Linked DNA regions of Pelodiscus sinensis. The protein of the gene in region 2 purifies or fractionates together with the protein of the main gene of each other region. This does not show direct contact. Links are inferred from orthologs where the notes say so. Each region holds a gene or a part of one and is shown on either strand. Other genes may lie near its edges.

Region 1 (7,072 bases), on a different chromosome or scaffold from region 2:
GGATTGTGACCTAGGGCAGTGAATTGGGGTATAGCAGTGGGTGCAGGGATTTGGGTTGGGAGCTAGGGCAGTAGGGGATTGTGATCTGGGGCAGGGGATTGGGGTGCTGGATCTGGCAGGGGATATGGGTACAGGAGGGGGGCAGAGGATTTGGGTATGTGGAGTAGGGCCCAGGAGTGAGGGTCAGAGGGTTGGAGAAAGAGGGGCTGGGGTGCCAGAGGCAGGATCTGGCCAGGAGACTTACAAGCCAGCAGCCATTCCTGCATCAGCCTCTCTGCCTGCCCAGTCCCCAAACAGGCTGCAGCCTGGAGCACCTTGTGCTTTGTGGCTGCCTGTAATTGAAACAGGCAGCTCCCACCAGCCAGTTTCTGGCCAGAAACCGGCCAATGGGATTGTACCGGGATGAGAGCAGCTCCAAAAGCTTTCCCCCCTCCCCTCTGGACTCAGTTTTTAAAGAAAAAACGCCCCACAGCTGCATTTCTGAGCAATGTGCGCATAGGATAAGGCAAGTGGGGGGCCTGCCTGGGGCTCCCTGCAGCATCTGCGGGCCAGATCCAATGGCTTAGCAGGTTGGATCTAGCCCAAGGGCTGGTTTTTGCCCAGGCCTGCTTTAAAAGCAAGAAGATAGATAGGGGATCCCCAACTATCCAACATAATCACTAGGACACTCTGGATCTCCTTTAATGTTAAAAACATCAGGCATCCAGGCACACAGATGAGTGTGGCCTGCTCCTGAATAACCCAGGGAGAAAAGAGTGGGTTACACAGGTTTAATTCCCAGTTCGGACACTGACTTCCTGCATAAACTATAAAATGGAGATAGAACATAATACTACTCATTTTCTACACTTAGTTTGTATTGTGCATTAAAGCCCTGATCCTGCAATAAGCTCCATGTGGGCAGACCTCATCAGCTTCAATGCAGCTCCTTATGCATAAACAAGAACCTTATGTCCACAGCTTATTGCAGAATCAGGACCTTACATAGCAACCTCTTCAAGGAAAGAGCTTTGTGTTTTGGTAGCACCTAGCATATTGGGGCTCTGATCTCGGTTGGGTCCTCAGATTTAACATTTTTATTAAAGCTAATGTTAGAATTATATAATACACAGGTTAAGAAAAGAATGTCTATACATTGAGATGTAATGCTTATCAGATAGTCGACTAGTGATGTGACTAGTCGCTTCCCCTGACTTGCTGCCTCTATCCGAGAGAGGCGGCAAGTGGGGGAGCAGGTCCCAGTGCTAGGAGCCAGCTTAAAAGCTGGTTCCCCTTAGCACCATCTCCTCGGGGGGCAGGGGAGGTAGAGGCACAGCGGGAAATGGCGTGAGCAGAGACTGAAGCTGTCTCTGCTCGTGCTGCAATTCTGTTTTTCAAATATACAAGAGCCCCACTGGGGCTCTTGTACATTTAAAAGGCTGAGGCAGGGCTTCCTTTGAAATGTAGCAAAAGAATGTGTTTCTGCAGTGGCCAGTTGGGTGGACCTCCAGGCTGCCCCAAGCAGCTGGCTCCAGGTCAGCTGCTCAGGTGGCCCCAGGGACAAACACACTTGCCATTTCTGGAGAGGCTCTGCACTAATGGTGCAAAAATGTGTTTATTTTGGTAAACATGTAACCGCTGAAAATTTCAGCAGTTACATACTTGCAGATGGAGGAGGCGGGAGCTGGCTCTTAAGTTGGCTTTCCACGAGCACCTGATCCTGCCTCCCTCCCCAGGCTGCTGCCTCTTTATTAGAGGTGGGGATATTAAATATCAATTAACTTAATAGTCGAGTAACCTCATTAATTCTTATAGGCTAGTCAACTATTCTATAGCCCCCAAGGATGGGACTGGCAGCCAGTGCCCCCTGCCACTCCGTGTTTCTATTGCTATTTTAGAGGCAGCCGCAGGAGCTGATCCACGAGGGGAGCCAATTTAAAAACCAGCTTGCCTTGCGGACTGGCTGCCTATTGTCCTGCACTGCTGTCTGATAAAGAGGCAGTAGTGCAGAGTGGTAGCAATCCCTGTGTGGGAGGGTCTGAGTTCCCGGACCCAGTATGAGCCAGAACTGAGCTGGGTTGCCTACCTGCCCAACTCCTAATACAATTTAAATGCAGAGCCACAGCAGGGATAGGTCCCAGACCCGTTGCAAGCCGAGACTGAGCCAGGCTGCTGGCCACCCTGCTAAGAAATTTAGTGGCGAGGGGAGGTGGGAGGGAAATGCTTGTCGTCTGGAGCATTAACCTACAAGCTTTTGCTGATCAGTTAATCGACTACACTATTACAGCCCTACTCACAGGCAGCATCTCAGATGCGCTGGCTCTCCCCCCCCCCCCCGCCTGATCAAGAGGGCTGCAGTAAGGGTGAGGGTTAAACAGGAGCCCGGGCTACATCTCTACCCTGCACCCGGCCGCTTGCACAGCCCCGCAGCCAGCTACGCGGCCTCCGCTCGGCCGCCCCGGGACCAGCTGGTGCCCTTGGCCCAGGGGCGTCTCCCCCTCCCCCACACTCAGTCAGTGCACGAGCGACAGACACGTCACAGGAATTGTATCTACGTAGCCAACAGTCGGGTTTGAGTTTCGGGCGGCGCGGCTCAGACAGCGACGAGCCGTGAACTGAGCGGGGGGGGGGGGGGCGAACAGAGACCGGGGCGCCCCTTCCCACGGCCGCAGGGCGGCACCCAACTGTCCGCCCCCCGCGCAGCCCCGCCCCCCGTTACCTGGATACCGTGCACGATGTAAACCTTCTCCGCCTCGCTCAGCACCACGGACGCCATGATGCGCGCCGGGTTCCAAACACACCGGCCGCCGCCGCCTGGTGATGCCGTCACCAAAACGCGACGACGCTAACTTCCCCGTCGCTTCCCTGCCGTCCCTCCACCCGCACGGAGTTACGTCAACCGCTCGCGCGCGCCGTGCGATGCCTGCGGGCGGGCGCGTGCACCGCCCTGTGTGGGTGACTCAGAGTCACTGCGGGGCTGGGGCTGCGCGGGAGCTGCTCCCACGTGGGGATAGCAGGCGCGCAGAGGGCAGAGCCGGATGCTCTGGGTGGACGCGCCACGTGTGCGCATGCGCAGCTCTTAATCTGGGCGGCCTGCTGGAGGGGTGCGCGTGTTAGTGCAAGGGCGTTGTTGGTCCGCATTGTGCCTGGATGCAGAGCCCTGCACATTGGGGATGGCAAAACCCGTTATTACTGTAACCGTGTAGCCGGTCAAACCGGTTACACGGTCACTCGCTGGCTGCCAGCCCACTTCCAGGGAGCCAACGACCTGCCTAGCCCTGCAAACTCATACAGGGCAGCAGAGCAGTGTGGCTGTCAGCGCCTCAGGAGCCCTGCATACTGGGAGCCAGCTTTTAAGGTAGCTCCCCATTAGGGTTGCCAAGGTCCAGTATTGAACCAGACAGTTTGGTATTTTCGCCTCCTGTCCCATAAAAAAAATCAAAAAATACCTGACACCTAAAATGTCCGGTACTTTCTGATTTTTTCCCAGCCAGGAGGCGAAAAATCTCGGGCTGTCCAGCTCAATAAGGAGGCAGCCTGGCAACCATAGTGCTTACCAGGGAGTTGTCTGGCCCAGTGCAGGGAGGCAAGATGGCGGGTGGCTGCTGGTAGCCTGTTAGGGCCAAAAAGCCTTACCACATGTTTCTTAAGAGGGCCATGCTGTTATTTTTATTTTTGCTTAACTGTCAAAGGGGGGACGGTACTTTTTCTGAAACCATCTGGCAACCCTATTCCCCATCATCATGTAGATGTCTACAAGATTAACTGATAAACCTGGCTATCGGTTAATCCTGTGGTCTACACGCATTTCATCTCCCCCCCCCACACACACACTCTTGCTGCCTCTATATCAGTGGCTCCTGCGGATCTGCCTTCTCCCACTTACTGCCTGCTATATAGGCAGCGGGGGTGGGTGGGGAACAGACAGGAGTTGGCTTAAAAGTCAGTTCCTCCCAGCACCAGCTCCTCTGTGCTGCCCCCCTCTATGAAACAGCTTCTGTCCATGGCAAGCTTGGGCCCACTGCAGATAGGTTGTTGTGCATTCTATAGAGCAGCCTTACCTAGGCCTACCGTGAACAGAGGCTGCTCCATGGCAGCAACTTCTGTCCACAAGGAGCTCAGCCCCTCCCTCCCACCCCAACAGATCGTGTGACTAAGGTATCATCTCAAAGGCACTTCTCTCACTTAACGAGTAGACCACTACCAAATGTACTGTTGATTTTGGTCAATTTCATAGTCACAGGATTAAAAAAAAACCATAGGCATGGGTGGTCAGTAATTTAGGCAAGGGAAGGCAGAGCCTTCCCAAAATTGCTCACAAGACCAACTGCCTAAGGCTGGGGCTGCCAGCCTGGCTCTCCCCAGCCACCGGGGAGGCATCGGGCCACTGCTTGGTAGCCCGGCTTCCCCTTTCCACTGGGGAGGCATGGGGCTGCAACTCGGCAGCCCAGTTTCCCCCCGGCCGCCAAGGAAAGCTGGGCTGGGGCTGCAGTACGACAGTCACAGCTCTGCACATGGCCCAGAAACCTCGAGTGGAAGGGGACAGAGCTCGGGCTTGTCTTCCCCAGCTGGCCTTTCACCCAACGCCCATAACCATAGGTTTTGTTATTTCAACTATTTAAATCTGAAATTTCAATGTTGTAACTGTGGGGGTCCTGACCCAAAAAGGAATGGGTTTTTGCAAGAGGGTTTTTGTAGTACTGCTAGTACCCTTCTGTGGTGCTGGTACTGGCAGTGGTGCTCAGCAGCTGAAGAATGGTGACTGCTGGCCGGTCACCCAGCTCTGAAGGCCAAGCTGCATGTAGCAGCAGTGCAAATAAGGATGGTATTGCCACCCTTCTGCACTGGTGCTTGTAGAGCTAGATCCTCAGTCAGCAACTCTCTGGCCACCCCACTCTGAAGGAAACAACAGAGAAATAAGGATGGCATGGTATGGTATTACCACCCTTCTACACTTCTGCTGGTGGGGTGCTGCTTTCAAGCTGGGCATCAGGCCAGCAGTCACTGCAATCCATCCACCCAGTTCTGAAGGCAGCACAGAAATAAGGGGGGGATACTGCAACCCCCCTAAAATAAGCTTATGATCCCTGCAACTCCCTTTTGGGTCAGGACCCCCAATTTGAGAAACTTGGTTTCCCCCATGAAATCTGTATTATATAGGGTATAAAAACTCAAAAGATCAGATTTTACAAGGGGAGACTAGCTTTCACAGTTCATGATGAGTTTTTCATCAAAGCATAGGGCTGGAAGACACCTCAGGAGGTCATCGAGTCCAGCCCCAAATTCATGGCAGTGAATTTGGTAGGACCCTTTAATGAGTGTTTTAATATTTTGTTTTTTCCATATAATTCCATGTGTGGCCTTGTGCCTTATTTAATGCATGCCAATCAAATCCTGCTGTAAAGACAGAATTATTAATTGCCTCATGGGCTTTGGTATGATGCTTCGCACTGTATTGAGTGAATCAGGAATATGAATGAATTTATTTTCACAAAATCCATGTATGATTGAGATAGTATAAATATCACCATTTTACAGATGTGAAACTGAAGCTGAGAGAGATTAAAGTGAAAAGTATCTACTAATTTTGCTACTCAATTTAACATACCTAGGATTTGATTTTTTTTTTTTTGAGTACATGGTAATATATAGTTAGGGATGTAAGTGACTAGTTGACTATCTGAATAGCAAATGCTTATCAGATAGTCGAGTAGTGACTCAACTAGTCGCTTCCCCCTCCTTGCACCATCTTGGCGGGGGGTGCAGCAGGAAACAGCACAAGTGGGGACTGCTTCAGTCCCCGCTTATGCTAGTTCCCTCTATGGGCTCTTCTGCTTTTGAAATGTACAAGAGTCCTGTGGGGCTCTAGTACATTTCAAAAGCAGTCCCCACTCACCCTGTGCTCTCTGCGGCAGCCCAGAGGCATCAAGCCTGTCTCAGAGGCAGCAAGAGGGGGACAGGAGCCAGTGGAGAGCCATCTTAAAAGCCTGTTTCTCCCAGCACTGTCTCCGGGGTGCTGCCTGCCCCTCACCCCGCTGCCTCTATCAGAGGCAGCAGTGCGGGATAAAGAACACTGCTACGAAGCAGCCTCCGTCTGCAGGGGTCCTAGCGGGGAGCTGGGCCTCCCCACAGACAGGGGCTGTTGCTACCAAGCAACCCCTGTTCAGGGTGGCCAGGCCGGGCCATGGGTAGGGGTTGCTCAGCAGCCACCCCTGTCTGTTGCCAACCCTGTCTGCCATGAACAGGGGCTGGTGTCTGAGTAGTCTGTGTTTGCGGTGGACAGGGCTGGTCGCCGCAGACAGGCTGCTCTGGCACCAGCCCATGTCCGTGGCAGACAGGGCTGTCTTCTGTAAACAGGGGCTGTTAAACTCATTGCAAGCTGGGACCAAGCATTCCCATCTCGCACTGATCACTGTGCCTCTGCATTTTAAATGTAATAAAAGCCCAGCAGCTCTTACTGCATTTATAATGCAGAACCACAGTGCGGTTGGCTCTGGAGCCAGCATGAGCCAGGACTGCTCTGTCCCGGCTCAAGTGGGCTCCTGGAGCTACCCAGGTGCCAGACTGAGGGGGGGGGGGGGTCACCACTAGGACCCAGAGTGTAGAAAATTGTGTCTGCTGCTGGTGCATGTGTATTTTCTCTGCAGAGGAGTAGAACAGGAAGAGGGCAGAATTGAAACCTTTCAAAGTTTTGGCCCAAGCAAGGCGGCATGGGGGTGTCATTTGAGCTCCCCACTTTGGGTGCCAAAATGTTGTGGGCCAGCCCTGGAGCTACCCTCACTGCAGCTCTGCAGAGCAGCGCTTATCGACTAATCATATAGTCAATACAAATTGTTTAGCCAGATAATAGCATTTTAACATCCTTATATATAGTATTTCATTTGTTCAAAGCATAGCTCTCATCTACTTCAGCTGCAGTTGTGCGAATAAGCGCCAACTCTTTGGGGTGGGAAGAGGCGGGACAGAGGTGGTGTAAGCTTGGGGAAAGGGATGGAGTAGGTTCAGGACCCGGGGGAAATCAGCATCTGTGTTTGAGTGTGTTCGGCACATTTGAAAATCAGACTCCAGTTGAGAATCTTGCATCTAGTACCCA
Region 2 (7,484 bases):
GATAAGCCCTCTTGCGCAAGTATTCTTGTGCAAGAGGGCCAGTGTAGACAGGCAAGTTAATTTCTTGCGCAAGAAAGCCCGATGGCTGAAATGGCCATCGGAGCTTTCTTGCACAAGAGAGCGTCTACACTGGCACGGATGCTTTTGCGCAAAAGATGTCTTGCGCAAATACTTTTAACGGAAAAACTTTTCCGTTAAAAGTATTTGCACGAAATCATGCCAGTCTAGACGCAGCCCTCTTGTCTAACATCCTAGACAACAACAGGCTGCACTAACAGTTGAGCCACAATCACACATGCCTTCGCAACCCTCTTCCCCAAAAATAAATCAGAAAGTTTTTGTTCTAAATAATAGTTAAAAATTTAAACTAAAAATTTAAAAGTTTTTTTATTAAGGATGAGCAGCTGAACTAAGAGTTAATACATTTGAAATTGACTTGAAATTGATCTCTGCTATGTTGATTATCTAATATACTATGTACATGTATCAGAAAAGTCCATTGTACTTATAACAACCAAAACACTCAAAAAGGCTACCTCAGAATAACCTATTATGTACAACATGGTAGTGCACTACACAAAACATCATCAAATCCAGCAATCACAGAAACTGGCAGTCTTCCAATGTCTAAGACCAGCAAATACAATATGGATAATTAAATTTAATTACCTAAAAAGTTACTGATGGCACAAAATGGCAAGAATCATAGGGGTAGCTGTGTTACTCTACATCTGCAAAATGAATGAGGAGTCTCTTTATGGTGCTACCAGATCCCTTGTTGTTTTTATAAAAAGGCAGAAGTTTCAGTGTAAATTTTTTAGCCATGTTGAATATTTTAATATACATCAATATCATTTAATTCCAATTAGAAAAGAAAATTGAGTTTAAAAATGTCCTTAAAATGGGGGCAAAGACATAAGAATCTCAGGCCCAGGGGCTGGATGTGGCCCCTGGCTCGCCTGGATCCAGACCGCGAGGCTCAGGGCCCTCCCCCAGCACTGGGGAGCACACACCAGTGCTTCAGCCTCCCCACTACCCTGTTGTGGGGCTGCAGAACACAAAATCTACTAGGCTGGGCCCCTCTAGGCTATGGTGTGGGAAAGGAAAGTGGAGAGTATCTTTCTCCTTCTCGGTCAAGGGCCATGTCAGAGAGGGATTTTGCTTCTCACTTGTGTGTAGCCCCTGACTGATTTTTCTGTGGGTCCATGGCCCATAACCCAAAAAAGGCTCCCACCCCTGCTATAGCCCATAGCTACTGCACTGTTATAGGTAGTCCTATAGCTAGCCTTCCCCTTTCAATTCCCTTCTGTTCTTCTTCAGAATTGCATCTTCATTTACTTGTGCAGGTTTCTATTCTGCAAGGACATTTCGTTGTGCTACTGGCTGGTTTGGTACTCCCCCTCTTCTCTATTACTGAATCTGTTTTGTTCTGTAGGGTCTGCTTCCTCTGGAAATGATCTAGTTAACTTACAAGTGACAAAGCCTGTCAAGGCTGTTAGCAGAAGATTGAACCTGTGAACCATCTAAGTGGATGCATCCTGTAGGCCTTCCAAATGGTAAGGAAACCCGTATAACAGGCATTTGCCAACCCCAGTATATACCGTCAGTTTCTGAATTTACAGTCTCAGAGGGCTGTACCCACAAAAGATTGTGATACCATCTACATGTTTTGTTAGTCTTTAAAGTGCTGTTAGACTATTTGTTGTTTTTGTGAGTCTCTCCATATTTGTGTTATTCTCTAAGGCTACGTCTAGACTGGCATGATTTTCCGCAAATGCTTTTAACGGAAAAGTTTTCTGTTAAAAGCATTTGCGGAAAAGAGCATCTAGATTGGCATGGATGCTTTTCCACAAAAGCACTTTTTGTGGAAAAGCATCCGTGCCAATCCAGAAACGCTTTTCTGCAAAAAAGCCCCGATTGCCATTTTTGCGATTGGGGCTTTTTTGCGCAAAACAATCTGAGCTGTCTACACTGCCCTTTTGCGCAAAAGCTTTTGCGCAAAAGGACTTTTGCCCGAACAGGAGCAGCATAGTATTTCCGCAAGAAGCACTGATTTCTTACACGAGATCGTCAGTGTTCTTGCAGAAATTCAAACGGCCAGTGTAGACAGCTGGCAAGTTTTTCCGCAAAAGCAGTTGCTTTTGCAGAAAAACTTGCTAATCTAGACACAGCCTAAGGGTACGTCTACACTGCAACGCTATTTCTGGACACATCTCATGTCTTCACAGCAAGCCCATTATTACAGGCTCGCTCTCCCGACATCCCTGTAAACCTCCTTCTACAAGGCGTACGGGACGGGTCACCACGGGGCTTTATTTCGGAACTCGGCGCGGCGACGATACAAGACACGCAATGTGCTTCGCTCCCACGGCGCCTCTTATCTCGAGTCACCGGGCAGGGCAGACGCACCCCACAGGGCCTGGCGCTGGGTCATGAATGTGCCCGGGGGGAATCGACAGGACCCGCGTTTAACATTTGCTGGGCGAAATATTCCATGGGGGTGGGCAGAAGAGGACAAAATCCCAGCTCTAAAACTACCCCCCCCCCCCGCTGGTCTTGCTCTAAAACTACCCCCCCCCCCCCCCCGCTGGTCCTGCACTAAAACTGCCCCCCCCCCCGCTGGTCTTGCTCTAAAACTGCCCCCCCCCCCGCTGGTCTTGCTCTAAAACTGCCCCCCCCCGCTGGTCTTGCTCTAAAACTACCCCCCCCCCCCGGTCTTAGGGGCAGCAGTTTCAAGCAGGGGCCCGGCTCCCTGCCCCCTAAGGATCGCCCCGCCCACGCCCCAGCCGCTCCTGCCCCTGGCGCCCCCCGTGCCCCCGCGCCCGGCTCACCGCGGGGGCAGGCGGCCCGGCACAGGGCGCTGCGGCAGGGCACGTCGGGGCGCAGGTAGTGCTCGCGCACCACGCGCACCGAGCGGCCCGCCAGGCCCCGCAGCTGCAGCACCTTCTCCGTGCGCTGCATCGGCCGCGCGCCCGGGCCCGGCGGGAATGGCGGGAGGCGGCGCCAGCGCGCTACGCCGGAAGGGCGGGGCCTGCCTCGGGGGCGGGCGGGAGCGGCGGGGCCGCTGGGGGAGGGGCATGGCGAGGAGGGGGCAGGGATGGAGCTGGGGGGAGGGGAATGGCGAGGAGGGGGTAGGGATGGCGCTGGGGGGAGGGGCATGGCGAGGAGGGGGCAGGGATGGCGCTGGGGGGAGGGGAATGGCGAGGAGGGGGTAGGGATGGCGCTGGGGGGAGGGGAATGGCGAGGAGGGGGTAGGGATGGAGCTGGGGGGAGGGGAATGGCGAGGAGGGGGCAGGGATGGCGCTGGGGGGAGGGGAATGGCGAGGAGGGGGTAGGGATGGCGCTGGGGGGAGGGGAATGGCGAGGAGGGGGTAGGGATGGAGCTGGGGGGAGGGGAATGGCGAGGAGGGGGCAGGGATGGCGCTGGGGGAGGGGAATGGCGAGGAGGGGGCAGGGATGGAGCTGGGGGGAGGGGAATGGCGAGGAGGGGGTACGGATGGAGCTGGGGGGAGGGGAATGGCGAGGAGGGGACAGAGATGGAGCTGGGGGGAGGAGAATGGCGAGGAGGGGACAGAGATGGAGCTGGGGCAGGGGGATGGCGAGGCGGGGGGCAGGATGTGGGAGGGAGAGGGGGTAGCAAGGAGGGGGCCTGGATGGTGCTGAGGGAAGAAGAGGCTGGCTCAGAGGGGGGCAGGGATGGTATGGGGGAAGGGCCAGTGGTGAGGAGAGCAGAGATGGTGCTGGCAGGGGAGGGAGATCCTGGGTTACAGGAGACATCAAGCTTTCAGCCTTTGTCAATAATAGCCAGAAAGTGTCTGATAGTTAAAGGTCAGGGGATCAGGCTTTTTTCCCTCATTCAAAATCAAGCTGGGGTCAGCTGACCTAGAACAGGTAGTCTCTCCAGGAAGGAGCTTTCTACTTCAGTGGACAATGCCCATGTTTAGTGTAAATTCCCATGCATGAAGATTACCGCTGGAGGGATTCACAGGATCCCGATAAGCCCTGAACTCCAATATACACATACGTTTCGCTTAACCTGTGTACCATGCCCATTTTCATGTCAAACATTAGCTTTCCTAACAAATAATTAAATCTGTTGTTATCAGTTTAATACTTGATATGTTCTCTATCTGGGTGCTTAGGATCCCAACAAGGAGCCAGTGTGGACTACATATGGAGTCGGTTGACGCTTTGCTCAGCTGACGTGGCCGCTTGTAGTTTCCGACATCAACAGGTGGTCAAAGGACATTTACATGGAGCACATCACTTGACATTGACAGTACTGAGAGGCATAAGCAGGACCACCGACAAGGGATGCAGTCTAGGAAGTAGCCCAAATTCTTCCATGTCAGGCAGTACCTTCCTACCTGTGGCATAGTCACGGGTGGGCCTGGGTAGGCCTAGTCCACCTGCTTTTAATCCAGGCCCACGCAACCATGCTGGTTGGATGTGGGGGATGACCCTGCTGCACCCAGTGCTCTGACTGGGTAGCCGGGGCTCACCCTGCTGCGCCCAGCATTCCAGAGAGTGGGGCCAAGAGGTGCGGGCTCCCCTTTGACCCACGCTCCAGCCTGGGGAGCAGCCAGGGAGTGGGGCCAGGGCTGTCACCGTTCCATCGGTGCCCTGCCACCCAGCAGTCTAGCTGGGGAGTGGAGCTGGAGCTGACCCCTTGCTGTCAGCGGTCTGGCTAGGGAGCAGGGCTAGAGTGTGGGGGCTTACTGCCTCCATCATTGCCCACCCTCCCAAAGTCAGGGCCCACCCAAGTGGTCCTTTCTGGCTATGCCATTGCTTCCTACAGAGAGCCTACCCCAGATACTGACAGAATGAGAGAGAATCTCCACCCATTAATATATGTGGTTTCCATGGCTAATCCTCTATAAAACTTCCAGTGGATGATATACCCAAATGCTTATTCACTACTACCAGACTCTACTGCTAAACTCCTAAATCTGAGTCAGTGCTAATTGTAGTTTTTTTGCTCTGTTGTTTCTCACTCTCCTTCGTTTGGAGGAAGTTTCCGATGATAACACGATAAAACATGATGTGACCCTCAGAATATAAAACAATAATCAGGTGTGAGAAACTCAGGAAATGAAAGAAAGTAATCATATACTAGGCCTTTAGTCAGACATACTCAAAAACCTAGGAGGAAAATGCATTTATTTCCTGAGTTCTCCAACTAAATCAGGGAACTCAGCTGAAATTCAACCTATGTTCCTGAAAAAGCACCTGAAAATGACCTGTGGTGAGAGGATGCTCCTGTTAAGTTGGAAGAAGCTGAGCCAAACAGACGCCAAGAGAGAACCACTACGTGACCTTTCTCAAATGCCGCTGCCATGGCAAAATATACCATGTTACATAGGTTCTGACTTCTATTCTTGCCGAGGGGGTGCCCGGCCACTGCTCTTCACCAGCTCCCCCCCCCCCATACTCCACCCTTTCCCCCAAGCCCATACACCAGCTCATCTTTCCTCACATCCCCCAAGTACAGCGCGTGCCTCCCTGCTTCTTCATCTCCCTCCTGGAATGTCAGCATCCCGCCAATCAGCTGTTTGTAGCACTCTAGAAGCACTGGGAGGGAGGGAGAGAAGTTGGTTAAGTGTGGGGCTACCAGCGCATGAGTGGCGCAGAGTGCACAGCTTGGTGCCAATGGGTGCTCTGCACCCGCTACTTTTTCCCAGTGGGTGCTCCAGCCCCAGAGCACCCAGGAAGTCAGCTCTAATCCCATGATGAATAGCATCAAAGAGCTTACAAATACCCAGATACGGTAATAAAACATTTGCAGAAAACTTCTGTGGGTAGTTCACAGTCGTGCACGCCAAAAATTCTAACAAAGCAGAGCTGGCTTGCAATCATAGCTTGAGCTCAAACCAAGATTGATTTTAGGTCCATTGTATACCTGACTTGAATATTTTGCACAGCTGTAGAAAGAAGTGTCTTCGGACTTTTTTCTTTTTGAAAAAAAGGGAAATTATTTTGTGATTATGCATTGCTGTGCTTCCCATTTTCTCAGCAGGATGATCTCCCCTCTGCCATGAGCCTGCATCTTAGTTTTCAGGGTGCAGTTTCCGTTTATTGCCACTGGGAGACACCATTTCATTGATTTTGGATGAGAATACCAGTGTGTCCTCTGTTTAAAATTCAGCCTTTCAGGTGTTGTGATCAAAGTGCTGATAGTTGCTTGTAACAACACCAAGCAATTTCTACTCCAAAAGAAACTAACAAACTAGTAACTAAAGGCTGCTTTCTAATACAATAATAACCCCTCATGCTGCTACATGCCTAGATGTTTGTAATTATTGGAAGCATAAAAGCAATGTATTTACTATAATTCCTCATTTTTGGTATATTAATTCCATGATTCCCTCTTCCCTTTCATCTACAGATGAAATTTTGAAGCATGTTCTACATCATTAAATCAAAAAGTTGTACACTCTGTTGTTTCCCGTAATATTATACATCTTTAGCTCATTCCAATGTTTTATTCTTGTATTAACTGATGTATTATGCGTATTAAAAAGTCAAATACTGATTTAAAAAGCAATGGCCATGTTTATTCTGTCATCAAAACTACTAAACTTTAGCTGATATAAAGGTAAGGAGAAGCATCATTCACAGGTGATTTTAGATTGGAGGATATTAGCTGTAGCTTTTCATAAGATCTAATAAAACAAACGTAAACATAGTGGAAATAATTTGGTTATTTTTGGCCCAATTATGTAGCCTTTAATCAGGCAAAACTATCAAGATGTATTTGATCTGAATAGGGGTGTGAGCTTAAAACTTTTACAGTGAAATGATGCTTACATGAGCCTCATACCCTGTAGTAACCCCATTATAGTTGATAAATTTCACAGAATAATAGATGTCAGATGGAAAAGACCTGTTAGGTCACCCAGTGCATCCTCACCAAATTGGGATAGTCCAAGTTTGGAGTCATTTACTGTAGAACTTTTCCCTGTAAGGGATATTTATTTATAAAGTGCAGTAAACAGAAAATAGAACTGCAAGGATGACTTTTTTGCCCTCTCTTTCAAAATCTCAAGCTGAAATTCCTAGGTGAAACTGATGAATTCCTTCTTAGCCTCCTAAAATGAGAAATTAAATGAGTGGTAGTTGACCTCCATTGAACCCTTTTCCGTTGTCATTTGCTGTACAAATTAGATGAGAAGAGTTTTCCTTGAAGGCTCAGAGATGTGCATTGAAACTAAAGAAGAAAATATCATACTGTTTCCCACCCTGCCCTCAAAGGCTCAGGAGTTGATTCTGCAAGCATGTTGGTGAGTAGTATGGCTCAAAGTTTGAAGTCAAGGGGACACTCACATGAAAAAGACTGTGTCACCAGGTAAGTGTTTACAGGATCAGAATCTGAAGCTCTGCAGTTCTCTTCTTAGCTCAAGCAATCAAATCATGCTATGTAAAGCTTCAAACTAATACTGAGATAATGGAGCTTAATATTACTGATGCAAGCCAGCAGTTCTAGT
Region 3 (7,278 bases), on a different chromosome or scaffold from region 2:
ACAGCTCCACTTCCAGTCTGGCTGAGGATGGGGATCCCTTGAACTTCCGTCTCTGGCCCCAGGAAGTCTAAGCAGTTCTGGTGACCCCATGGAAGTGGGGGCCTGACCCAGTTTGAGAACCACTGCTCTAGAATTCTCTTTTGGGGCCATTACTGCAGTCTGCACAAATGCTGCATCTGCGTTCTAGCTCCAGAGTCCAGGTGCTTTTCTCTGTGGGGTGCTGCTGGAGGTGTCCCGGGGATTGTGCATCCGCACAGCCTGTCCTGGGAGTTGTGTAACTGCACCAGTTCTTTCTCTGAACGAGGGCGCTCCATCTCTTTTTGGGAAGATTATGTGCCTGGTGCTTAGGGACTTCTTCCCAGTCAGTGAAGCCTCTCCACCTTCACCTTTCTTGCAGCCCATTTCTGTTCACTGGACAGGGCCTTGAGAGGCTATCTAGTCCAATACCCTGCACTCATGGCAGGACTGAGCATTACCTAGATCATCCCTGACAGGTTTGTATCTAACTTGCTCTTAAATATCTCCAAGGATGGAGATTCCACAACCTCCCTGGGCAATTTATTCCAGTGTTTAACCACCCTGACAGGTAGGAAGTTTTTCCTAATGTCCAACCTAAACCTCCCTTGCTGCAGTTTAAGCCCATTGCTTCTTGTCCTGACCTCAGGTTAAGGAGAACCATTTTTCTACAGTCTTTGCAACACTTTTTTATTTATTTGAAAACTGTTATCAGGTCCTCTGTCTTCTCTTCTCCAGACTAAACAAGCCTATTTGTTCAGTCTTGCCTCATAGTTGGTTTCTAGATTTTTAATATACATATATTTTTTTTGCTCTGGACTTTCTCCAGTATATCCATGTTTCCTGAAATGTACCTAGAACTGGACCCACTACTCCAGTTGAGACCTAATCAGCTCATAGTAGAGCAGAATTACGTCTTGTGTTTTGCTTATAAAACTCCTGGTGATACATCCCAGAATATTGCTTTTTTCCAACACTGTTGACTCATATTTAGCTTGTGATCTACTGTGATCCCTAGATCCCTTTCTGCAGCACTCCTTCCTGGGCAGTCATTTCCCATTCTGTGTGTGTGAAATGATTGTTCCTTCCTAAGTGGAGCACTTCTCTCCTTATTTAATTTCATCCTGTTGATTTTAGATCATTTCACCAATTTATGCAGCTCGTACCTTCAGGGCCACTGGGGACTGTCCTGGCTGTGGCTGCAGAGGGATCTGAGAGCCTGCAATGTGGTGTCAGGAGCTGGTTCTTGCCATGACTCGGTGTGCATGTCTCCACAGGCCCTGAATGAATCTCTGAAGCTGTTCAAGGCTTACTCCCCTCAGACTGCGGCCATGCTCTTCTCTGTGGATAGCGAAGCTGGGAAGATCACTTGCTTATGCCAAGTACCTCAGGTAGTACTGTGTGTGTGCCCTTCCTTGTGCCGCCCTGCAGCCATTCAGATGGAGTGTCAGACTGGTGGGGGGGGCGTACTTCAGGATTCTTGCACCCCTCATGCACAGGGAAGTCCACCTTCCAGCCTCTTCCCTATCTGCATCTCCCCTCCCCCCGCCCCTTTCCAGTAGCAGTAGCCCTGCTCCTGACCCTGGCTCCTGGGGATGGGGTGTGGAGACAGGGATAGAAACATGAAATGAGCAGCTTCCACTGAGGAGGGGCTCTGAAGAAGCATTACTCTGTGTTTCTTCTGATTCCTGTTCTGTCTCTGACTGCCCCTTCAGCCTTACACCACATGTCCAATGGCATATGCCTCTGGTGGGGTCGGTGGGTTTTGTTCGGTTACTGCTGCGAGTGCAGGGCTTGGCCTTGACTTTTGTAGCTCTGATTTTGAAAACAAATAATGTTTGAGAGGTGAATCATGGAGTACACAAGACAAATCAGACTCCTGAAAGGGGGTGCGATCACAGAAGACCCTTTGAGGCTATTGCTGTCACAATAGGCAGTGATCTTGAAAGATTGAGAGCCACTGATTCAAACCCACTCACCTGCCTGGAAAAGACGTTTCCTTCCTTCCCTCCCTCCCTGGCATTGTCAGCCACAGCACAGAGCCTGGAAATCCTGCCTTCCCCAGCAGTCACTCCAAACCTGCTGTCTTTAAAAGAATCTGAATTCTTGCTTTCCAGGAGCTAGCCACCAAGGGCCTGAAGGCAAACCAGTGGGTGCAGGAGGTGACGGGTCTGATGGATGGCAAAGGCGGTGGGAAAGATGTATCTGCCCAAGCTACAGGAAAGAATGTTGACTGCCTAGAGGAGGCTCTGAAACTGGCCACAGACTTTGCCAAGCTCCACCTTGGTGAGCTGAAGAATTGACCTAGTGCCCCTGCACTGACTCTCAGCACATCAAGGAATGCCCTCAACTCTCCTCAGCCTGGCCGATAGGTTACAGTGTAGTGGGGCTTGTGAAGATGGATTCTGCTCCTCATTCCTTCTGAATCCATTTGCTTGAGGCATTAGCAGACTAAAAGCAGAATCAACAGCTTGTGTCCTAATCCAGCTCTGATGAGGTCTCCCGGTAGCCTGTGTTGAATCATGTCACTTTCATCCTCTCTATGTCTGTTCCTTGTCTAAAGTCAAGCTGACAGTACTGACCTACTTCCCAGGCTACTGTGAGGATTAACTAGCTAATGGTGTAAAGTCTGCAGAGCACAGTCCAAGGTGCTAATTGTTAGCAAATACTGTCACACTTCTACAATAAATTAACATGCATCAAAGCCAAGAGTCTGTGTGTACCACCTTCACCCCTGTGTTACTACACTGGAAGCATGAGCTGCAATGAGGCTGGGTGTCGAAGGTGGGGATCCAACCTGCTAGAGTATTTTGAACCTCACCACTGTTACCAGCTGTTGATAATACAGGAAGTTTGCAGAGGAGTGACTGGTACCACATTCTCTGTAATTCTCTGAAGTGCCAGCCTTGGGATGGTCAGAGGTGACAGGGCTGAGCTACTCTGCATGGGAGCAAAAGCCAGAGACAAGGCAGGTGGGAGCACTGGCCTGCACTGACCTATGGCCCACAGCTACTGCAAGGGTGCCTGCTGTCAGTGGGGGCTTCACACACCCTACCTCAGGGAGTGCCCAGTAACCTTGAATCTCCAGGGAGGCTGTAGGAACACTGTCAGCCTCATGCTTCCTCAGCTGGGGGGTCACTGTTCCCACTCAGGAGCCTCTCCTAGCCCCATGTGAGCCTCCTCCCCCTCCATTACCACTCAAGCCCCCCTTGTCAACTAGGGTTGTCAGGTGTCCAGATCTTGACTGGAACACCCAGCTGAAAGGAACCATCCTGGCACCACTCAGTGCTGCTGACCAGCCATTAAAAGTCTATGCAGTGGGGCTAATGCCTTGACTCTGTGTGGCTCCCAGAAGCAACACTTTGTTCCCCACTTTGGCATCTACATTTAAGGGCAGCCAGGGCCCTTCACACCAGTGGGGAGATGGCTCTGCTTGTGGGAGCTACTTGCGGTAAATGCTGGCAGGAACCTGATCTCCCTGCTGCCCTACATCCTACCCAGAGCAGCCTTCTGCAACCCAAATCCCTCACCCCTACCCTATCCCAGTCTGCATCCCCAGCCACAGCCCTAGCCTGGTGAAAATGAGTGAGCATGTGAGGGAGAATAGGGAGAGTGAGCAACAGGAAGGGGGCATGAAGTGAGTGGAGAGCAGGGAGGGAGGCGAGGGTGTTTGGCTTTAAGTAGAGTTAGCGATAGGATGGGGCTTCTCCCTACTGCCAGCCCCTGAATAGCCCTGCCCACCATTATCACTGGGCCCCCTTGCTAATCTCCTCCCCTGCTGCTGGCCCCCTCACTAGCCCCCTGCCCTCCCCACCTTGCCATTATCTGCCCCTTTGCTAACTCCCCTCTCTCCTGCCACCCTTCCCTGCTGGAAAAACTTGAAAAACAAGGACTAATCTGATAGCACCTCAGAGACTAACCAAGTGTGGATGGCGGGGTGAGCTTTCCCAGCTCCAGCTGAACCTGCGCCCCGCTGTGCCCGGCTCATGAGCCCAGCTCCGCTGTGTTAGTCTGTAAAGTGCTGCCAGACCACTCCTTGTTTTTCCCTCCCCTGCTCTGTTGGCCCCACCCCCTCGCTAACCACGCCCCCTGCTGTTACCGTTGGCCCTGCCCTCTCGCTAACCCCGCCCCCTGCTGTTACCGTTGGCCCTGCCCTCTCGCTAACCCCGCCCCCTGCTGTTACCGTTGGCCCTGCCCTCTCGCTAACCCCGCCCCCTGCTGTTACCGTTGGCCCTGCCCTCTCGCTAACCCCGCCCCCTGCTGTTACCGTTGGCCCCGCCCCCTCGCCGCTTCCCAGCCCCGCCATGCCGCTGGACCCGCGGCGCGTGCCGGGCCCCGAGGAGTCGCAGCCGCCGCTGCTGTACGCGGCGCCGGGCCAGGCGGCGGCGGCCGATGAGGCGGAGGCGGAGGCGGGGGCGCTGCGGCCGCTGCTGGCGCGCGCCGGGCTGCTGAGCCAGGCCGAGGGCTCGGCCTACGTGGAGCTGGCCGGCGGCACCAAGGTGCTGTGCGCCGTGCGTGGGCCGCGCGAGGCCGCCGAGGGCCGCGGCCGCCTGCTCTGCGACTTCCGCCGCGCGCCCTTCTGCGCCCGCGGCGCGCGCCCGCGCCCCGGCCCCGCCGCCGCCGCCCGCGAGCGCGAGCTGGGCCTGGCGCTGCAGGAGGCGCTGGCGCCGGCCGTGCGCCTGGCCCGCTACCCGCGCGCGCGCCTCGAGCTCACCGCGCTGCTGCTGCAGGACGGCGGCGCGGGCCTGGCCGCCGCGCTCTGCGCCGCCGCGCTGGCGCTGGCCGACGCGGGCGTGGAGATGTTCGACCTGGTGGTGGGCTGCGGCCTGTGCCGCGCGCCCGGGCCCGCCGCCGCCTGGCGCCTGCAGCCCAGCGCGGCCCAGGAGCGCGCGGCCGCCGCCCGCCTCACCGTGGCGCTGCTGCCGGGCCTGGGCCAGGTGGCGGGGCTGCTGGGCAGCGGCCAGGGCGGCCCGCCCGAGAGCTGGGCCCAGGCCGTGCGCCTCGGCGTGGAGGGCTGCCAGCGCCTCTACCCGCTGCTGCGCCGCAGCCTGCTGCGCGCCGCCGAGCGCCGGGCCGGGCTCCCGCGGGGCCTGCCGCCCCCCGAGCGGGACCCCCCGGACCGGCCTCCTCCCCCTGAGGGGCCCGCCCGGCCCCCTCCCCCTGACCGGCCCTGAGGGGCCCGCCCGGCCTCCTCCCCCGCCCGCCCGGACCGGCCCTAAGGGGCCCGCCCGGCCTCCCCGGCCCGCCCGCCAGGCTCCTTTCCCTGAAGCGCCCCCGAGGGCCCCCAACAGGCGCCAGCTGCTCACCCCTTTCCAATCACGGCCCCCTCCCAGTTCGCTGAGCCTGTAATGCAGACTATGGGCCAGCCCCCCCTTCCGGGAGTTAATGAAGGTCTCAGTGGCACAGCCCTCCCACCAGTACATCTGTGATGAGATCAGGCCCCCTTTGGTGCTGGGCAGCAGCCCCTCCAAACTAGCTCAAGACCTGGCCCATCGCCAGTGTGGGGAGCAGCGCGGCAACCTCACCCCCCTGCGACTGGACTGCTAAGGGGCCTGATCCACGGAGTAGCCACTTTCTGGAAAGCCCCACGAGGAGGCAGTGTGACCAGAGCCCCAGACATTGCTCCACCTTGCAAGGGATATGAGTTGAATGGGGCCTCTCTACCAAGGAGGAACATATCATGGACTTTTGCACCCAGAGGGAAATTCACCAGCACCATGGCAAAATTGTGAACATTTCAACCGATATCGGGACTGAAAGCAAAGCCAGAATCTGGAGACTGAACATATGCAGGAGATCTCCTTGTGGCTTTTCTTCTCTATGCTGGCACCAGGTGGGGTGAGCTGGAGATGTCTTGTAGAAGAGACTTTACAGATGCAAGTCAGCACTGCAGAACTGACAAACTGTGGCAAACCTTTTAGGGCAAGTCCTTCCCATCCAATGGCAGCTACCATCCACCATAGAACTGTTTAAGTGGCTTTTTAAGTATAATAGAAATGGGGTTTGTACTTTATGGTTAACACAATTCAGCAGATGAGAGGTAAACTGTTTTGCAGGTGATTGGCTGCATGCAACAATGTGAGGCAGTTGAATCTTTCCATTGGTAGGATTAGACTGCCTTGATTTGTTGGTGTGCACAAATGTATTTGGTATGTGCTTCAGGGGGACGTGGGAAAACCCTCCCCCTCCTGCCTGAGATTTTAAATTGTTTCTATTGACTCCCACCTGATTCCTACGAAATGGCAAGAAATACTGTTGACCAGCAAGCAGTCTGTTTTATTAGATGGTTTAAAATGTTTCTCAGTGATTTTTTTTTTTTGGTGACATGTTGATTATATCTTAATTCTCCCCCAGAAAATCACGACTGCATTTTTCCTGGTTTTCAGTTCACTTTCCCTAAAAATTGAGAGATCTGCTAGTGTAATTATTTTGATTTAATCGGGACCTTCCATTTCCTCTTTGGTTGCTGCTCTGCTTAGCATGGGTTCTTTATTGCATGTCAGTGTTTAATTTCCAAAGAGGCCAGTTAACGCAAATTCTCAATACAATGGACAGGTACCAATGCAGTTTTTTTCTTTCTCTGGGGTTAATGTAAATGTTATTACTTGACTACAACAGGAGAAATTGATAGAGAGCCTTTATCCTGAATCTGCTGTAATGTGTAACTCACCCAGCCCCTGGTTTGTATTGATTTGGAGGATGGGTTCCCAACAGAAGTGATGATGGAAAGGTTTGGTTGTATACTTTGGTGACTAAAATCTGAGCACCAGTCAGAAACCACTGCCCAGTGAACTCTAGTTAATATATAAGACCCATTTGTAACTCTCCACCAAAGAGAATTGATTGACTGGAGAACATTTTTATATTACAATAAATTTTCTTACTGGGAAGTTCATGTTTTCTTGGCTTTGATCTATGTGGGTCCTCTGCTCTGTAATGGGCCCTTTGATTAGAAAACTCTCCAAGTGAAATCCGTGATGTCCCCAGATGTCCTGAAGACTAAAACTCCATACTAGCAGGGCTAGCTTTCTCTTACTGCCCACTCTCCAGCTCTGAGTTCCCCTATTGTGAAGAGGATAGCTTTGTGCATAACAGCTCTACTCCTATGTAAAGGGGCCAGTTATGTAAATCTTTGCTTTGAAACTGGACTGAAGGCAACAGTTTCATCATAATGACTGAACAGCAAGCACATGATAATAACTGGGCTGGATTTGAGTCTTATCCTAGAGGGGAAGGCATTACAGCTGTTAGTGTTGTTCCAGA
Region 4 (7,942 bases), on a different chromosome or scaffold from region 2:
AACACAAGCAGAAAACTTCAAGACAACGGAAGGCCTGAACACAGTAAAGAAGAAATATAATCAACAAAATGTGCAGCAAGGGTCTCCCACCAACTCTCCTTTGTAGGCCACTTTTAACTGACCCGGTCTACAGTTAAAACTTAAGTGATCTAGCTAGCTCTCTCAAAACTGTATAAAAACCTTCACACCCTTTGAAACATAATGAGGGTGACCTAACCACGACTGTAAATGTAGGTAGATTGACAGGTGTAAAAAAAAAAATCTTCTTTTGATGTTGCTACTAAAGATATAAAAGGTTAACCAGTAGGCCTCACCTTAATGGGTGAGGCTTACAGGTTCTGGTTACAGGTAGGGGCTGAGGCAACCCCTGTCCCTGGCAAGCCAGATCCACCTTCCCCCATCAGATTATATGCTGGCTCCCTGGGAGCAGGGCCAGGCATTTAAAAATGTAACTATGTAACCACTAAAAATCAGAGCGGTTACAGGTGCTGGAGGCTCTGCAGCATAGCTTATTTAAGTGTAAATGCTATGATTTTTAGTGGTTACACAGTTACATTTTTAAACATATTTTTACATCCCTACTAGCCACTGCCTCTTGAGATTCTAGATTTACTAAAAAAGAGAAATATCCTTTTGTGATCTGTTGCAATGCTTGTAGTGTAGATGTACCTTAAGTTATCTTTTTCTTCAGTGTTCTAGTATGCTACTAATATAATTTCACAGAGCTGTATACTCAGAAAAAGTACATCCAGCCACCCAGATAATGTGCAAGTGGGCTATTCATCATCTCTCAATTTTACAGTTCATCCCAAATGGAAAACTTCATTTGCCTCTTTTGAAGCATTCATAAATGTGAAAGGCATTATTCAACTTGATTTGTTTTATTTCGTAATTTTAAAAAAATATCAGTCTCTTGGCAGACCTTATAGATAATACATCTCTGGAAGAAGGGACATAGTTTTTCTTTAAAATGTGAAGACTTTTCAACTCTCCAGTTGGTGTTAGTCTTTTCAGAAAGCAAGATGACTGACAATACAGTGGGAAATAGTGAAACCGACTCACAAAGTAAAAATAGAGGAAAAAAGCCCCAGAGCTTTACAAAAACTTTTCATGTATTTGATAAATTATTTTACTGATGTGTTACAACATCAAGAAACCTGTGTATTTGCAAAGGAAGAATAGTACACCAAGATAGCAATATAAATATTCTACATTTCAATTGTTAGCTGAAATCATTTGTTCAAAAAAGGCTCTGCAGCAAACCTGATGACAGAGAATGCAATCTTTGTGCAAGTACCTCCACATGCCCAGACAAGGCTTCTCTGTCCACCTCCTGAAATCACTAACAAATAATTTACAGCTTTGTTAGAGAACTGAAGAGAGATATTAAGACAGCAATGGAATCAAGAAGCTGCCAAGTCTTGCTATCACTGCTGTAAATTTTCAGTGCCACATATCACTTAAGTGATGGTACCCCTATTTCTGACCTATTTAACACAGTAAACAGAATCTTGCATTTTGTCCATGCTCAGTAAAGAATCTATTCTGTGACAAGTGCTCTGACACCAGTTACTTCACTGAGTTAGCATAGCTATGCTTTTTTTAAAAAAAACACCTACTGTTGCACCTACTGTTAGTAGTGACAGGGTGCAGACTAATTACCATAAAATCAACTAACTCTGATCTAAACAAGATTTAGATAAATTAGTGGCCACTAGTGCTCCTACCATCTCTACTACTAAGAGAGTTGGCAGCAATAGGTGAGTTCAACAAATGCCAGAAGAATCCACTTGTTTGGAAAGTGACACATGCTAGCTCTTGAAGCAAGAAATCAAAGGCTGATAAACCAAAAATGATTAAATTAAAAGTACAACAGCAGCATTCAGAAATAAAACAGAGAACAAAATATGGACCGTAAAATAATGGCAAAAGTAACCAAAAAAGAAAACCCCCAAGACCATCATTCTGAAGCAAATCAGAATATGGGTTGTTTTTTTTTTAATACTCCAACCACGTCAATAAGTATTGACCCCTTTGGCCTCCAACTTGTCTGGATTTAAACTGCAATTATACATGCTCGTAGGTGCTGGAATCGTTGTGTTGACACTGAGACTACTTGCCTTGGATTAAAACCAAACACACCTGATCCTGATCTACGGGCTCTTCGCCCTACCACAGCCTTTAGGGTCACACGCTGCTGATGATTATTCCCCTTAACACCGATCCTACTGACGCCTCAGCCCTGAACCAGCTCTTTTCTTCCTGTGTCTGCAGTATGACAAGGCCAGACATGCTCAGAGGAGACAGGCGTCAGTGCGAACGGACCCTGCCCGAAGGCTCGCCCAAGACGCTGAGGGGGGCGAGGAGCGCTCGCAGGAGTTAGGGGAAGAAGGGAACGAGCAGGGACCACAAATGGCCCGGAATGACCCAAGAAATCCCGCAGGTGTCTGACAGGCTCCGGCCCACCAGCACTCACCCAACCCACGGCAGGACCTGCTGCCAAAGGCCGCCTGCACGGGGCCTCCACCAGTCAGAGCCACCGGGAAGTGGGAAGAGGGGCAGGCGGCTGCGTCTCCGCGCAAGCGACGGGGGGAAAGACGAACAACGGAGGCTCCGGCAAGGCCTATAGCCCATAAGCCAAGTCCAAGTCACCTCGGCTGCTCAAAGGCCGCGGGCCTCCTTGGCTTCTGTACCCCACGGCAAAGACCTTTCCCCGGGCAGCAACCGCAGGCGACACCGGCGCTTCCACGGCGGCCTAGGCACGTTCCCGCAGCAGGGCCGCCCCGGCGGGGCTGACACGTCCCGGACGGGAAGGAGAAAGGCTCAGGCACCGCCTGGCCGCCCCGGGGAGCCGGCCGGCGCCAACGGGGTTAATTACCTGCGATCCCGGACGGAGAGTCTCTCACAGCCGAAGCAATTCCTCAGTCCCAACAACACAAGATGGCGGTCGCGCCGCCACGCATCGTCACGTGATATAGGGCGCCACCTACCCACCCAGGCCCCGGATGGGAACGGCGGCGAGTTGAGAGCGCGCGCGCGCCGCGAACAGAGCGCGAGCTCCGCAACGCTAACGGCCGCCGCGGGGTGACGCGAGCCCCCGCCCTAGTGCCAGGCCCGGGCCTCGAGAGAGAGCACGAGGCCGGCCGAGGCCGCTGCGTCGGGACAGCGCCCAGCCCCGATCCTACCCTAGGGCCCAGGCCAGGCACGGGCCATAGTCCTCCGCATGCACCCAGCTCGGGCCGGGCGGGAGCCCAAGTGCTCTGGTACTTCCCCACTGCCTCTGTTCTGGGCCCAGCTCTCCCACCCCGCCCGACCTGGGTGATCCAGAGCCCTCTGACAAGGAGCCAGCCCTGCCTGGAAAAGGGGTGCGGGCGGCTCGGGTCAGCAGTGCTGAGCGGGGCGTTAAAGGGCCGCATAGTGGGACAAGGAACTGCCGGGCCTCCCAGGAGTGTTCAGCAGGGACGCTCCCCCGGCCTCCAGTAGCAGCTCCGCCCCTCCCATTGGCCGGGAGGCTTTGTGAGCGGGAGCTGTGGGGGCAGTGCCCAGAAAACCTCCCTCCCCAGACTTTCTGTCGAGGAGCCAGACATACTGGCCCTGTCCCAGCGTCTCAAAGAACCAGGGCAGGCAGGAGTCTGTCTTAGTGCCTCTGTGCCTCTGGCCTAAGGTAAGTACAGCCTAGCTGAACCAGTGCCTTGATCCCCCTCCCAGAGCTTGCAGGCCCAGCCCTGAGCCTGCTCCCACACTCTAAACCCCTGAAACCCAGCCGAGAGCCCCCTCCTACTTCCACAGTCGGCAACACCAACTAGAATCCTTCCTGCACCCCTGCTCCAGCACACAGCCCCCTCCTGAATCCCTCATTTCTGGCCCCATCCCACATCCTGTACCCCCAGCTGGAGTCTTCACCCAGTCTCACAACCCAATCCTCTGGCCCATTCCATTGAATTTGGGGAAAGGACAAGCGATGCAGGAGAAAGTGGGATGAGGCTTAGAACACGGGGTGGGGCAGGGCAGGTGTTTGGTTCTATGTGATTAGAAAGTTGGCAACTGTAGTCACACTTCATATGCAGAAATCACCCTGTCACGTTATTCACACTGCTTTCTCACAGAGGCAGACATCTTGATCAGTGTTCAGGACCTGATGAAAAAAATCTTAACATAGTCAAGGAGTTGACTGAGAAAATATCAGAGACATTGGGTATTATTTTTGAAAACTCATGCAAAACAGAGATTGCAGAGGAAGGCAAATATAGTGCAATCTACTAAGACAATCTGGGTAATTACAGATGAGTCCTCTTAATTTAAGAACACAGAAAGATAATAGAGTAAATAATCAGTTTACAAACACCTGGAAAATAAGGTGATGATGGCTTATCAAGGAATGTTGCTTTTGAAGAACAAATCATGACAAATTAACCTAATGGCTCTGCTTGATAGGAAACAAGCCTTGTGGATGGGATGTGGCAGGGGAGGAGTGGTAGATGTTGTATATCTTGATTTTAGTAAGGCTTTTGTTAGTGTCCCTCTTGATCTCAAACTAGGGAAACAAAGCCTAGATGGAGTTACTATAAAGTGCATGCATATTTGGTTGGAAAAACATTCCTGTAGAATAGTTATGGTTCACAGTCAAGCTGGAAGGGTCTATCACATGGGGTCTTTCAGGTATCAGTTCTGGGTCTGATTCTGTTCAATATTTTCATAAATGATTGAGACTAAAATTATACAGCGTACACTTAAAGTTTGAAGACAATACCAAGCTCAGTGGGGTTGCAAGTACTTTGGACGATAGGATTAAAATTAAAAGTCATCTGGACAAATTTGAGAAATTGTCTGAAGTAAACAATTAAATTAAAAAAGGACAAATGCACTAAGGAAGGAACAATCACTTGCACACACATACATGGGAAATGACTGTCTAGGAAGGAGTACTATGGAAAGAGCTCTGGGGGCACGGGTATTGGATGAAGCTATCTCTTGGGAAGGTGAACTCCCCAGGCTTTGGCCCTGCCCATATTCTACTGCAGGCTCCAGACATTCTTCCCAGGCACTGCCCTCTCCCCACTGTTCTCTTCTTTCCCTGCCCTGCTTACCCCCTTTAAGCAAAATCCCTGAATCCAAATGTAGAAAATGACATTTGAAAAAAAAAAACACTCTTCTACAATTTCTTTCTAACGAAAATGGAACATGTTATCCACTGCATGCCAGATTGTGAAGACTGGACCTGCAGAAGGTACCTAATTAAATTTATTTGGGAATAAAAAAAGTCACAAGTTTTTTTTATATATACCCTGAAGTTTGTCAAAGATTTATTTGCACAAACTTTGTGGTAAGGGCAGGTCAGCTGTCCTGCTGAATATAACATTAAATATTATGGAATAGATGATGCAGCTCTTCTTTGTTTAATTTTTTTTAATCAGTATTTCTGAGCTGATTTTATATTTTAATTTTACTCTTAAGCCTGCACAAGTAATCATTCCAGATTACTACAGATTTAAGACACTGAAGCAAAAATATAAGTTTAAATTAATCAGAGCAATTTAGTGTGTTCATCACAATATTCATTGCTTTTAGAAAAAGGGAACACTAATTTATTTTGTGTAATCTCCATAACAATAGACATATTTACAAAATTTCATTTTATATTAATGTTAAAAATATGTCTAAATATTTTAGGTATAACAAGATTTTATACCTTACTGATTTTGGTGGAGGGTTCTCGTAAAAGTAGTTCATCAAATAGTCAGAAGTAAAAAAAGGGAAAATTCATTTTAACCAGGTATGTAGAAGAAAAGAGGTGTTGTCCCTATAAGGACTCTCTTGAACAGAGAGTGAAAAGAGAAAGATTACAGCAGAGATAGATAGAAAGAACAAGACGACTTTGGAAGCAAGTTTTTTGTATTATAGTAATTAAAATGTGTATTTTAAATAAGATCTTTTGAAGAATTTAAAGAACTGTTTGTCTGAAGATCCAAGTATGTAAGGCTAAAGATGAATACTCAGATTCTGCATCTCAAAATCTATGCAAGGATGTTTTAAATGTGTGGTTTTATAATCTACTGCCGCAACAAACTGACTAAATATTTTAAGCAAATTGTAAACTAAGGTCCTGTAGCCGAATAGATTGAATAAATATTGCAGGAATGCAAAATTATTTTTGTCAAGTACATTCAGAATCTGACAGTATATACCTCCAGGATGGCAAATGCTTTTTAAATTACTCCATTATTGCTTAATGGCTCTTTGAACAGTTTCAGTCTTATGCTGATAGATCTGGCAAGTTGTAAGACTTTTCACTTTGAAATTACTAGATTGCCTCTAGGGGCAGACTCACCAGGCTGAAACACCCTGTTGTTGGAGCCTGCAGGAAGAATCAGACTAGGGGTAAGAAGAGGTAGGTGTTTGGACATTAAGATCCAGGGGAAGCAATGTCTTCCCTTTCCTCTATACTGACCATGTCTGGGAGTTGATAGTGGATCACAAAGTAAATATGAGTCAACAGTGTAACACTGTTGCAAAAAAAGCCATAATTCTGGAATGTATCAGCAGGACTATTGTACTCAAGACACAAGAAGTAATTCTTCCATTCTACTCCATGTTGTTAAGGCTGCAACTGGAGTATTGTATTGTGTCCGGTTCTGGGCTCCATATTTCAGAAAAGTTGTGTACCAATTGGAGAAGGTCCAAAGGAGCGCAGCAAAAATGATTAAAATTCTAGAAAGCATGATTTGTGAGGAAAGATTGCTAGCAGCTGCATCAAGCATGTGTCTGGAAGCCACTTTAGCCCCACTGGGCTGATGGTGGTGGTAGTGGAGGCCCCTGGTCATTTTAAATCACCCTGAGCAGCAGGCAGGCTGGGGGGGGACATGGGGGAGAGGGGATTGCGCAGGGGCCGGAGCATAGACAACTGGTGTCTGCAAGGGATGGGGAGTAGGGAGGACCACTCAGAGGAACAGGGAGGGGGGTATAAGAGCACTCCATTTAGCAATTACAATTTTGACAAGGCACGGGGGTGCAGTGCACCTCCTGGGTGCTGCCACAAGTCATCTATTGCCGGGGTGAGACCCGGCCCTAACCTTTGGTGTAGATGAGATAGGAATATTCCTGTTATATGGGCCCATGGTACCCAAGGACCTCGCTGCCTATGACCACATTACATATATTTGGAAAAATCTTAGCATTTAGAATGAGCTCCATTGGGAGACTGAAGAGACAGGATGGGTGAGGTGGTATCTTTCATTGGACTATTTTGTTGGGGTGTGTCTACACTGCACCTTTAGCTTAAATAAACCCTATTCTGAAATGTCCCTTAGTCCTCATGGAACAAGGTTTACAGGGATGTCAGAATAACTACTCCATTATATTTTGAAATAACAGGCTTCTTTCAAAGATGTGGAATAGCTATTTCAGGCTACTGAAATAATGCTGCAGTGTAGATGTACCTTTAGAAAGAAGGACTAATCATATGCAACTGCTCTGAGGGAGCATCTGCCTCTGTAGCAAAACTGTAAGGTTCTGGTCTCTGACAACTTGTATTTCCATTCTCTTGGCTGCTTGCTATTACTAATGGCTAGAAAAGTGCAGGGGAGGATAGCAAGAAAAAGAATTCCAACCCAAGATGTCAGAATAGGCACTTGCAGCTCTCTTGCAGAAGCAGCTGTGCCTTGTAGCATTGTTGTTCCAATGTCGTATCTTGACAGAAGTCAGTTAGATCATGTGAATATCTCTTTGCATTTTACTTGGAGAATTCAGAAGAGGCCTCTGTCTGACACTGGAGAAATCTAGTTTGTGGGGACTTGCTTTTAGTTAGTTTAGTTAGTTTGGGGGAGTTTATCAAGCAAAATTTCAAGAAGGGAACATTTTTAAGGTATGCATTTTTTTTAAATTTTATTTGGAAAATTCAAAATACATTTTAGTATCTATTTTAGTAGAGTTATCCGAGGACTTC

What was found.
Region 1: the proteins of DIS3L (region 2) and EXOSC7 purify together in Homo sapiens (affinity purification with mass spectrometry; 3 studies listed by BioGRID and IntAct, counting the BioPlex papers as one, with this or other methods). This does not show direct contact. The link is inferred for Pelodiscus sinensis from reciprocal best matches to the Homo sapiens genes DIS3L and EXOSC7.
Region 3: the proteins of DIS3L (region 2) and EXOSC6 purify together in Homo sapiens (affinity purification with mass spectrometry; 3 studies listed by BioGRID and IntAct, with this or other methods). This does not show direct contact. The link is inferred for Pelodiscus sinensis from reciprocal best matches to the Homo sapiens genes DIS3L and EXOSC6.
Region 4: the proteins of DIS3L (region 2) and GIGYF2 purify together in Homo sapiens (affinity purification with mass spectrometry; 3 studies listed by BioGRID and IntAct, with this or other methods). This does not show direct contact. The link is inferred for Pelodiscus sinensis from reciprocal best matches to the Homo sapiens genes DIS3L and GIGYF2.

Annotation. Positions count from the first base shown.
Region 1 is NC_134712.1:178,144,957-178,152,028, reverse strand, and holds the start of EXOSC7 (exosome complex component RRP42), read right to left. Parts: upstream 3,001-7,072; 5' UTR 2,756-3,000; coding exon 2,699-2,755; intron 2,301-2,698; exon of another isoform or gene 2,286-2,300; coding exon of another isoform or gene 2,277-2,285; intron 1-2,276. UniProt on the Homo sapiens protein: Non-catalytic component of the RNA exosome complex which has 3'->5' exoribonuclease activity and participates in a multitude of cellular RNA processing and degradation events.
Region 2 is NC_134724.1:4,766,538-4,774,021, forward strand, and holds the start of DIS3L (DIS3-like exonuclease 1), read right to left. Parts: upstream 3,002-7,484; 5' UTR 2,962-3,001; coding exon 2,832-2,961; intron 1-2,831. UniProt on the Homo sapiens protein: Catalytic component of the RNA exosome complex which has 3'->5' exoribonuclease activity and participates in a multitude of cellular RNA processing and degradation events.
Region 3 is NC_134722.1:48,825,762-48,833,039, forward strand, and holds EXOSC6 (exosome complex component MTR3), read left to right. Parts: upstream 1-4,272; 5' UTR 4,273-4,319; coding exon 4,320-5,189; 3' UTR 5,190-6,905; downstream 6,906-7,278. Other genes in the region: AARS1 (alanine--tRNA ligase, cytoplasmic), read left to right, coding at 1,293-1,406, 2,133-2,318. UniProt on the Homo sapiens protein: Non-catalytic component of the RNA exosome complex which has 3'->5' exoribonuclease activity and participates in a multitude of cellular RNA processing and degradation events.
Region 4 is NC_134720.1:4,777,560-4,785,501, reverse strand, and holds the start of GIGYF2 (GRB10-interacting GYF protein 2), read right to left. Parts: upstream 3,006-7,942; 5' UTR 2,879-3,005; intron 1-2,878. Other genes in the region: uncharacterized protein LOC102449525, read left to right, coding at 5,182-5,227. UniProt on the Homo sapiens protein: Key component of the 4EHP-GYF2 complex, a multiprotein complex that acts as a repressor of translation initiation. In the 4EHP-GYF2 complex, acts as a factor that bridges EIF4E2 to ZFP36/TTP, linking translation repression with mRNA decay.